2 linked regions of the Saccharomyces cerevisiae S288C genome follow. The protein of the gene in region 1 binds, or shares a complex with, the protein of each later gene. Each region holds a gene or a part of one and is shown on either strand. Other genes may lie near its edges. A codon is read from its position in the direction of its gene.

The links.
Region 2: the proteins of BUD23 (region 1) and TRM112 are in contact, whole or in part, in a crystal structure (PDB 4QTT), measured with the Saccharomyces cerevisiae proteins. Residues at the interface, in NP_009976.1 of Saccharomyces cerevisiae: Pro47 (codon at 3,391), Cys48 (codon at 3,394), Ser49 (codon at 3,397), Phe50 (codon at 3,400), Asp70 (codon at 3,460), Val72 (codon at 3,466), Cys74 (codon at 3,472), Ile78 (codon at 3,484), Leu83 (codon at 3,499), Leu87 (codon at 3,511), Glu92 (codon at 3,526), Gly93 (codon at 3,529), Asp94 (codon at 3,532), Leu95 (codon at 3,535), Met96 (codon at 3,538), Leu97 (codon at 3,541), Gln98 (codon at 3,544), Asp99 (codon at 3,547), Thr102 (codon at 3,556), Ile104 (codon at 3,562), Pro105 (codon at 3,565), Phe106 (codon at 3,568), Arg107 (codon at 3,571), Gly109 (codon at 3,577), Ser110 (codon at 3,580), Phe111 (codon at 3,583), Asp112 (codon at 3,586), Arg139 (codon at 3,667); in NP_014444.1 of Saccharomyces cerevisiae: Met1 (codon at 908), Lys2 (codon at 905), Leu4 (codon at 899), Thr5 (codon at 896), Asn7 (codon at 890), Phe8 (codon at 887), Leu9 (codon at 884), Lys10 (codon at 881), Ser12 (codon at 875), Lys14 (codon at 869), Asp17 (codon at 860), Phe23 (codon at 842), Ile40 (codon at 791), Asn43 (codon at 782), Glu45 (codon at 776), Phe46 (codon at 773), Asn49 (codon at 764), Ile50 (codon at 761), Arg53 (codon at 752), Val54 (codon at 749), Asp55 (codon at 746), Leu101 (codon at 608), Asn123 (codon at 542), Gly124 (codon at 539), Ile125 (codon at 536), Pro126 (codon at 533), Asn127 (codon at 530), Leu128 (codon at 527), Leu129 (codon at 524).

The regions. Positions count from the first base shown.
Region 1 is NC_001135.5:209,202-214,797, reverse strand, and holds BUD23 (18S rRNA (guanine1575-N7)-methyltransferase), read left to right. Parts: upstream 1-3,252; coding exon 3,253-4,080; downstream 4,081-5,596. Other genes in the region: YCR051W (uncharacterized protein), read right to left, coding at 59-727; YCR050C (uncharacterized protein), read left to right, coding at 1,026-1,334; ARE1 (sterol acyltransferase), read right to left, coding at 1,037-2,869; mitochondrial 54S ribosomal protein bL19m IMG1, read left to right, coding at 4,375-4,884; RRT12 (Rrt12p), read left to right, coding at 5,188-5,596. UniProt on the Saccharomyces cerevisiae protein: S-adenosyl-L-methionine-dependent methyltransferase that specifically methylates the N(7) position of guanine 1575 (m7G1575) in 18S rRNA. Requires the methyltransferase adapter protein TRM112 for full rRNA methyltransferase activity.
Region 2 is NC_001146.8:704,561-708,695, reverse strand, and holds TRM112 (RNA methylation protein TRM112), read right to left. Parts: upstream 909-4,135; coding exon 501-908; downstream 1-500. Other genes in the region: serine/threonine protein kinase FPK1, read right to left, coding at 1-173; PET494 (Pet494p), read right to left, coding at 1,088-2,557; AGA1 (Aga1p), read right to left, coding at 2,820-4,135. UniProt on the Saccharomyces cerevisiae protein: Acts as an activator of both rRNA/tRNA and protein methyltransferases. Together with methyltransferase MTQ2, required for the methylation of eRF1 on 'Gln-182'.

The DNA of each region.
Region 1 (5,596 bases):
CATGTAGCGTCGCGTTCAATTTCTTTTAGCAAGCTGTAAGAGCCTTTGTGCTGGGTCGTTATTTTCTTCTCTTGGAATCTGGTTCGTCCCCGGAACCCGCCATGGAGCCCTGGCCCAGCATCTGCTCTCTGACCATAGCACGGATGTACCTTTCCAACTCCTCCTCAGCGTTGTCTCCCGTAATGATCTGTTCCAACTGCCTCCTGCGTTGCAGAGTGGCCTCATCGGCTCCTTCCTCAGGGTCATTTTCCAAGGTGTATCTCACGTTGTCCTTGAACTCTTCCAGCAATTTGCTGTCGATGACACCCTCACCCTGCACGCCGTCCACTCCGTGAACATCGGCCACGCCGGACTTAATCCTCATGTACTCGATTAGCTCACCATCTTCACCGTTCTCGACGAACGAGTCGTATGGCGTTTGGCCCTCCACATTCCTGATAGTGAAGTCTCCACCCAGCTCTTCCACGATCAACCTGGCAGTGGCCACATCCTCCACATGGTGCAACGGGGTATCGCCGTCGTTGTCCAACACATTAATGTCTCCATTGTACTCATTGCACATTTTCTTCAGCAAATCCAGGTGGCCGTATGCGGCGGCAGCATGCATTGGAGTGTAGCCGTTAATGTCCTTGGATTGCGGGGTCATGGCGCCTTTACTCTCGCGGAGGATATGTTCCACTCGGTCCAAATTACCATCTGAAGCAGCCACCCATATATTAGCGTTCATTTTGTCGTCACAACACCTATAATCATCGATTTTTGTCACCTGCAAACTCTTCTTGTTCTCAATTATATCAAAGGCATCGAAAATTTTTGGGGTTATGACAAGGAAAAAAAAAGTATTACCCGAAACTTAAACAATGAATGGTATATACTATATTGTAAAGTTCTAATAATATATATAAATATGTATATAGATATATATATAGACCTAGGAGCTCTTTGCCCCTGTCTTTGACCACGGTGGAGCGGACGCCCATTCCCTATTGTATATCTATCAAGGGCTTGCGAGGGACACACGTGGTATGGTGGCAGTTCATAAGGTCAGGTACAACGTCATAATGATACTGGGCCCTGAACAGACACCAAACGAAAAGACAACGTTGGACAACTGCGGTCTTGCCCGTAGAAACTTGGTGTTGCTCAAAGCAGTCCACACAAACTGCGACAGTTGGAACATGAACAGATATCCTCTAACCCTTCTGAAAATGGCGAACATGGCCATTTCGTGGAACACGGCACTCAAGAAAAAAGTAAATAATGTAGCTTGGCTCTTGCTCAAATGCAATGCGCCCATGGAGCTGTGGTACACGTGTCTTAGTAAAAATTTGTGAACGGGGACGTTCCAGATTCTGCTAAACTCTTCAAACGAAACGCAATTCCACCAGTCGCCGTAGAAATATCTGTCCGCAAACCTGGTCAACTCCGCCACGCAATTCAATAAAGCGTCCCATATCATGTAAAACGTGAGCATGTACAGAACAGTGAAGCCCGGAATCATGTCGAAGAGCAGGTGGAACCACTCTTGCGTGGCGGGGATCCAGCCGCCGAAGGTGGGCGTGTTGTGGAACTGGATACAGCGCATGGCCACCGGGTGCATGAAGAACTGTGCCGTGACCATCATGAGGAAGATGGTGCCAATGATGGCGCACACCTTCTCCAACACATACCTCCATCTGATGCGCGACGTTCTTGGGTAGTTGATCTGGTACACGAGGACGGGGAACAAACAGAACATGAAGAAATTGCTGCAACTGATGTTGTTGGGGAAGTCGTTATCCTTGGTCTGGTAGTTCAATTCGAAAAGGCAAAAGTCGCAACTTTTTTGCAGAATCTCGCGGGTCTCTGGGGACAAAGATTCCTTGTATTTTTGCAACTGTTTGGAAGAGTACTCGAGTTCCTGCTTTATGTCCCAAAGATACCCGTTGTAAAAGGCAAACGAGTGGCTCTTCATAACAAACACCACGGAGTGCAGGAACAGGAAGATTCTCGTGACCCAGTTGAAATCAAAGTAGTAGACGTAAATGGGGAACGTCACGGGGATGAAAGCCAACTCGAAGATGCTCACTGCAACGAACCCAGTCCACTTCCAGTTGATGATCCGCTTTTTCACCAGCCAGTGCACGAAAACCACGAAGAAAGTGCACAGGAACATTGCCAAGTCCAACATTGCGATCGTGAACAAGTCCGTTGTCATGTACTGCACGATTTCCAGCTTATTCCATGCACTGCCGTACGACGCATAGTAATCTGTGCAGCACCTGATGGCTATCCAGCCCAAGAACATCCATGCGAACACGTAGATCCCTGAAAAGTTCGACTCCAGTTTTTCTCCTGGGGGGGCATCTGCCTTGTCCGTTTTCTCCGTAGTCTTCACCGTAGTCTTCACCGTGGCCTTGGTCTTGGTCTTTGTCAACTGTAAATTTTTGAGCTGTTTCTCCAGCACCGGACCTTTGAAAGTCGTCTGGAAGGGCACGTTGATGGCGCTGTCCAGGAGCGTGGGGCGAGGATCAAAACTCACGTCCCCAAAAAACGACACATACTTGCTAGCATCCTTTCGGTGGAACCTCGACCGAGACTTGCTCTTCAGGTGTGAAAGGTACTTTTGCATGTGGGCGTCCACAGGGTACTCCTCCTCCTGCTCCTGCTTCCCTGCCACACGTTCCGCCTCAGTCGACTCCACTCCTTCAGTCGACTCCACTGGCTCCACCAGCGACGTGGTAGACGACCGTGGCGAAACCTCCATGGACTCCTGTGGCAGGATCACGTTATCGTACGTGACCGAATGCCGTTTGTTGGCTTCTGCGGAATTGAGTCTGCGGATCTTAAGAAACTCTTCGTCTTGCAACAAATCCTTAGTCTCCGTCATTCTTGCAATCTGTTTTGGCGCTCTTGCTGCAAGCCGTGCTGAACAACCACCTGCGTGAGTGTGCCAATGGCGCCCCTTTCCTCCACCACGCTCGTCCTTCTTATATCATCCGCATGTTGCCAGGGTCTGCTGGGTGCTATTGTTCGCTAAACGAGTCCAACCACGGCCGGGTATTTGATGGCCAAGCCAGATTTTTTTTTTTTTTTCACTCTACACCATCTCACATTTTTCAATTTTATCGATAAAAAGAAGAGATGAGCAGCACATACATAGTGTGATAAAGAGGAAAAAAGCAGAAGAAGCAGAAGAAGAAGAGCATAGTAAAAAAGTAGTGCTAAAAAGGTGCGGTACGGAAACACAGGAAATATATCAGAGAAGAAATAATGTCACGTCCTGAGGAGTTGGCACCACCGGAGATTTTCTATAATGATAGCGAAGCACACAAGTACACGGGTTCGACCAGAGTGCAGCATATCCAGGCGAAGATGACGCTGAGGGCGTTGGAGCTTTTGAATCTGCAGCCGTGCAGTTTCATTCTGGATATCGGGTGCGGGTCCGGACTGTCTGGGGAGATTTTGACGCAGGAGGGAGACCATGTGTGGTGTGGTTTGGATATATCGCCCAGCATGCTTGCGACCGGTCTTAGTAGAGAGCTGGAGGGCGACTTGATGTTGCAGGATATGGGCACCGGGATACCGTTCCGGGCGGGCTCGTTTGACGCGGCTATTAGTATCAGTGCGATCCAATGGCTGTGCAATGCGGACACTTCATACAACGATCCTAAACAGCGGTTGATGAGGTTTTTCAACACATTGTATGCTGCACTGAAGAAGGGAGGGAAATTTGTGGCCCAGTTCTACCCGAAAAACGACGACCAGGTGGACGACATACTGCAGTCTGCCAAGGTGGCAGGGTTCAGTGGCGGGCTTGTGGTGGACGACCCAGAGTCTAAAAAGAATAAGAAGTACTACCTTGTGTTGAGCAGTGGGGCCCCACCGCAGGGGGAGGAGCAGGTGAATTTGGACGGTGTGACCATGGACGAGGAGAACGTCAACTTGAAGAAACAACTGCGCCAGCGCTTGAAGGGAGGCAAAGACAAGGAGTCTGCCAAGAGTTTCATTCTAAGAAAGAAGGAGCTCATGAAAAGACGTGGGAGGAAAGTTGCGAAGGACTCCAAGTTCACCGGGAGGAAAAGAAGACACAGGTTCTAGAAGAAACACACATCCTCACACGCATATTCTTTTGTATACTATAAAAATACACACTTATACATTTCCCTCTGTCTCTGTCTCCTTCTACATGTATACTTGTATATGTATACTTGTATATATACACTTATATCTGTATGTGAGTGGTCAATGGCTCCGCGCACTTTTATGTAGTGATGTATTTTCCTTTTTTTCTTGGTTTTCAATTTTGGTGCTTTGGAACTCCCAGTAAAGAAGAAGAAGAAGAATCGAGTCTTCCCTCTGAGCAGCTGCTGAAAGGGAGAGAGAACCATAGCGATGTGGAGCAGGAACGTCAGATTGCTTGGATCATGGACAAGGTCCTACATGGTCCCCGCCACCAAGAGAAAAACCATCCCCGTGTACCCACCTGTGCAGCGCATAGCTTCGTCGCAGATTATGAAGCAGGTGGCCCTCTCAGAAATAGAGTCTCTGGATCCCGGGGCCGTTAAGAGGAAGCTCATCAGTAAAAAGAACAAGGACCGCTTGAAGGCAGGCGACGTGGTCCGGATTGTGTACGACTCGTCCAAGTGCTCGTACGACACCTTTGTTGGCTACATCCTTTCCATAGACCGCAAACAACTGGTGCAAGACGCCTCGTTGCTGTTGCGGAACCAGATAGCCAAGACGGCCGTCGAGATTAGAGTGCCATTGTTTTCGCCGCTGATCGAGAGAATCGACTTGCTAACCCCCCACGTCTCGAGCAGACAAAGAAACAAACACTACTACATCAGAGGTACAAGGTTGGATGTCGGCGACCTCGAGGCAGGTCTAAGAAGAAAGAAATAGGCTAGGCGCGGGTTCTGTGGCCACCCATCTCCTGTATATAAGAAAAATAGTGCGTGTATAAAATCTACGTATACTAACTATGGGTAAAGTAAACCTTTTTGTACTGTTTTCTTTTTTTTTTTTTTGGTTTCCCGTAGTGATGACGTACGTGTATAGAGAATTGAAGCGAAAATAAAAAAAACGACACAAAATATTGTTCTCATTGGCTTTTTTATTTTCTATTTTACACAGCATATAGAGGTATACTCAAGTGCTAGACATCCTCTAACATCCGCCAAGAAAAACAGCAAAAAAACACTGGTCATGAAGCCACAGTGCATACTCATCTCTTTGCTGGTCAACCTCGCATACGCAGAGGAGTATTTGGTGAGGTTCAAAAATCCCACAGCATTCCAACAATTCACTTCGAATTCCAACAGGTCATGGAGACAGTTCATCGACAACAAAATTGAGAAGAAATTCTCCATCGGATCCTTCCGCGGCGTGACCATGAACCTGTCCAAGAACTTAGTGAACAAGCTGAAGAAAAGCCCACTGGTGGCTGATATTGTGCCCAACTTCAGGTTCGAAGCTTTTGAAGGCGACAGTGTAAATAGCGCCGAGTCGAGTTATACGTTTAACGCTACCGCCAAATACTCGTACGAAGACGTCGAGGAAGAGCAAAATATAACGTATCAACCAGACGCACCCCGTCACTTGGCCCGGATTTCCC
Region 2 (4,135 bases), on another chromosome or scaffold:
ACACTCATGTTGTTCGATGAACTCGCATTCCTTTTCCATGACCGCGTAAGCAACTTCGAAAAGGATATACTTCTAGTCCTTTCTGATCCAGTAGTAGGCCGTTGAAGGGAATCGTGTTCGTGTTCTTGCTCGTGGTCGCGCTCTTGTTCATGTTCGTGATGGTGTCCAGCCATATTCTCTTGCTGTTTTCCAAATGATACTACCTTCAAGGCCCCTGAACCTTCAAACCGGCGACTTTGCTGCCTTATATGCCGGTGAGTCCTTAAAACAGGAGAGTATCTCGTTCTTTAAAGCTCTTAGAATCTGTATCTCCAAATCACGCGCGACGGGAAGGCTCAAATAGAAACTGTGGTGGGTTAGATCTCAGTCTTTGTTTTCCTTTTAGGTTGTTTATGCTACATGTTTGATGCCATACGTATATGAGGCTACTACTACATATATAGCTGTGTATATAGTTGTCTTTTCGTCTTGCGTGCCCACACACAGAGATCTCGCTTGATTTATACCAGGTGTGGAGGTAACAGCAAGTTTGGAATGCCGTTCTTGATGTAATAGATATGTCCGCAGTTCCTACACTTCATTTCACCTTCGGCAATGGACGTCTGTAGCAGTAAAGTATGCAAGTCATTAAGGATGGCCATGTCGTCATCGGTGAGCTCCTGGATCGAAGATGGGAAGGATGGTTTGGTAGGAGGTAAGGCGTTGTTTCCCAATTCGGCAGCAACCGTGAGCACTGCAGGCCAGTCTACGCGGTCGACTATGTTCAGAAGGAATTCTGGATTGAACTCGATAGATTCATCCTGTACCAATTGGCATTTGCTGCCGTCGTACTGTAGGGGGAAGTTGTCGTTGCTGGTGTCACAGGCTTTAACGGAGCACTTTAGGAAGTTGGTGGTTAAGAACTTCATGTTGACTAGGCTAGTAATATGATGTGTAGAGCCGAAGAGATCATAGGATGCTACAGTAGCTTCATTGCTGGTGAAGTAGTTTTGCTTTTAAAGCTCATCGATGAAAATTTTACCCAAAAAGATACAGTTTCGTATGAGATGATGAGTGTGATTTGGGAGGTACATATTTACATGTTTTATTAAGAAGAGTCCGCCTGGATATCAGAAATGCGTTTCAGCAGCGCAACCACGTCCCTATTTTTGCTTAGAATTTGATAACAGGTTCTCTTCTCTGCCTGCGAAATGGTACCAAGTATTTGAGAGCGGTCTTCATCTCTCGGCAGTAGGATTCTGACGGTTGGCCCTGCGTGTTTCTTCTTGTTGCGTTGTAGGAAACAATTTAGTTTGAGGATGCTGATTAGTTTGAATATATTGTCATTATAGTCGTATTTGCAGCCTGTTTCTTGCAAGTTGATATATCCCTTGAGTAGTCGTGTGTATGTTTCCAGAGATATGCTCGGTACTGGCTTGTTGACAGATGGAGAATTTACATTAGGGAAAAAAAGTTGAGTACGTTCGTTGTAGGGATTCATTACAATTGAAGAGTATTTCTGGAATATCCTGTTATCCTGCATGGAGTCATTAATTAATATATCGTAAAAATCTTCTTCGGTTCTGTTGTCGTAGATATTATGGGGGAAAAGGAAGGAATGGTCGTACAGCCAAAGACCCAACAGTTTTTTTACCTCGTTAGATCGCACCTTTCCATAGAATTGCTTAAACTCACCCAAGGTCTTCAAACTGTTGTCGTGAAGTTCTGTGCAGATGAATTTCAATATCGTTGGGTATTTAGACCAGTTCGGCAGTTGAAAATTCTGCACTTTCTCAGGTGATGTCACTATCTTATCGAAATTTTTATTCCACAGGTCGTAGAACACGTCTATCCTTCGATGAGTACCTTGTACCTCTTTTCCCTTAGTCAAAAGCTCGACTTCACGCCGCCATTCCTCGCTGTTGTTATTTTGAGTCATGGTCGTGGGTTGAATAACATCTCGATACAGCATATAAGCATATAGCATGTGGAATATAGATGCCTTCGCACGCTGCGAGTCATAATCAGTGACATTTTCCCTCTTATTCAAAATCAAATCTCCTAAAGTATACTGTTTTATAGGGGTGTCTAACTTTGCGTTCTGCTCCTCGACTAAGGGATCTTCCCGGACATGTGCTACATCAGGTTGCTCCCATTTAATATCATCTTCTTCACCCCTCAATTCAATATCTCGTGGCAAGCTGAGGGCCGTAGTCTCGAGCTCTTCTCTCTGTTTCGCCAGGCTCACCTGTGCCGCCATCATCTGCTCTTCGAATGCTCTTTCACTGCTGATAGTAACCAGCGTATTATACGTAACAATGCCCATAAATGCGACAATATTAGTTGTGACAAACATCAAATTACCAGGCGCATTGAAGTATCTCCACAGTGTACGCAGATATGGGAATGTATCACCATTACAGCTCAGGAGAAGTCCGTTTGTCCTTGTGAAGTTTGTCACTGGTTTCTTCCTACTTCGAGAAAAATGCATATTCGTCTTAGAGTTTACGGAATAAAAACGCTTCCATAAAAGTCGCCATACTGTGCTAATACTCCTCTTCCCCTTTTTCAAATGCATCGTGTGTTTCCACGCCTGCTCGGGTGCCTTTGCTGTCTCCAAGCTACTGTTGTTATCCGTTTGTTTTATACTTTCCTTATTTTGTAATTTACTATTGGATGTATCTCCCCGCGTGAAGTCACTAGAACGGTTTAAAATAAAACTTTAATAAATTTATAAGCGTCAGCAAATACATATCAATAGAGAGCGTTTTCATTACATTGTTGTATTTTTATTCGATTGATTGTATATGTTTATATAAATGAATTAAATTGTTCTGATATTAACTGAAAATTACATTGCAAGCAACTGCCATGATGGCGAAGACCAACTTTCCTAATGGCAAACGCGTTTGCGATCCACTGCCCATATATTGGCTAATTGTTACCATTGATGAAGTTTGGTATTGTATGGAGATTGAAGTAGTGGAAACTTCTGTAGTGGTAACAGATGTTTGTAGAGAAGAGGGAGCAGATGATGATGAGAGGAAAATAGAAGATACCGTCGGAGTCAATGATGAAGATTCAATAGTCGATTCCACAGAGGTAGATGGTGTAGAGATAGATGTTGCGGAAAGTGATGATGTAGAGGCAGATATTGTAGCAATAGCTGTGGAAGAAGTGGGTTGTAAAATCTCTGATGTTGAAGAAATTTGAAGTGTGGTAACTGGTGACTGTTCGACACTTAGTGATGATACAGAACTGAATAGCAAAATAGTACTGTCAGAGGATAATGTAGCAGACAAGGAGGAGGATGAAAGGACCGATGTCGATAATAAGTGTGATGATTGTTCTTGAGATTCTGAGTCAATGCTTGATGTACTCGTGGCTTCACTTACACTAGTCGAAATGGTTGAGGTACCTGAAGATGTTACATGATACTTACCGGTAGCGTGCTTATTGAAATCTTCATCCGAAGTTGTCATTGAACTTACCCAACTCTTTGTGGATGTGGTCTGCTGTGTTACAGAACTTGATGAAGCTGTTTGCACGGAAGAATACGAGTGTGACGTTTCAGCACATGTGGAGCATGCATATGAGGATTCAACCGTTGAGGTGCTTACAGAAGTTGCGACGTTTTTAGTGGACATTTTTATAGAAGATGTAATCAAACTTGTTGTCTGCGAGGGCATGCAAGACTCGTGAGTGCAGACTGTAGCGTCTGTTGTAACCGTTTCATGCATACTGGTTAATGTGCTAGTCTCAGATTCAGAGCTATAAGGACACCATGTCGTATACATTGTAGTGACTCCACTAACAGTGGTGAAATATGTAGACATGGAAAATGATGGGATAGTAGTAGAAATTGAGGATTTGGTGATATATTCAGACGAACTTTGTGAACTAACAGTTGTTTCAACAGTTGAAGAAGTCATAGAAGGAGTTGCAACATTTGACGAAGTCGAAGGGACGGAGTAAACAGGTGTGGATGGGCTGTATAATGACACAGACGTTGATGAAGATGCTATAGAGGAGCCAAGGGATGAAGTTGAATCAGTAAAAGTAGAGCTAATAGATGTTGAACTTGGAGAAGTGGAAGCCAAAGTTGGAGATGAAGAAGTCAAACTTGGGGATGTAGATGTTGAATATGAAGAAGTGG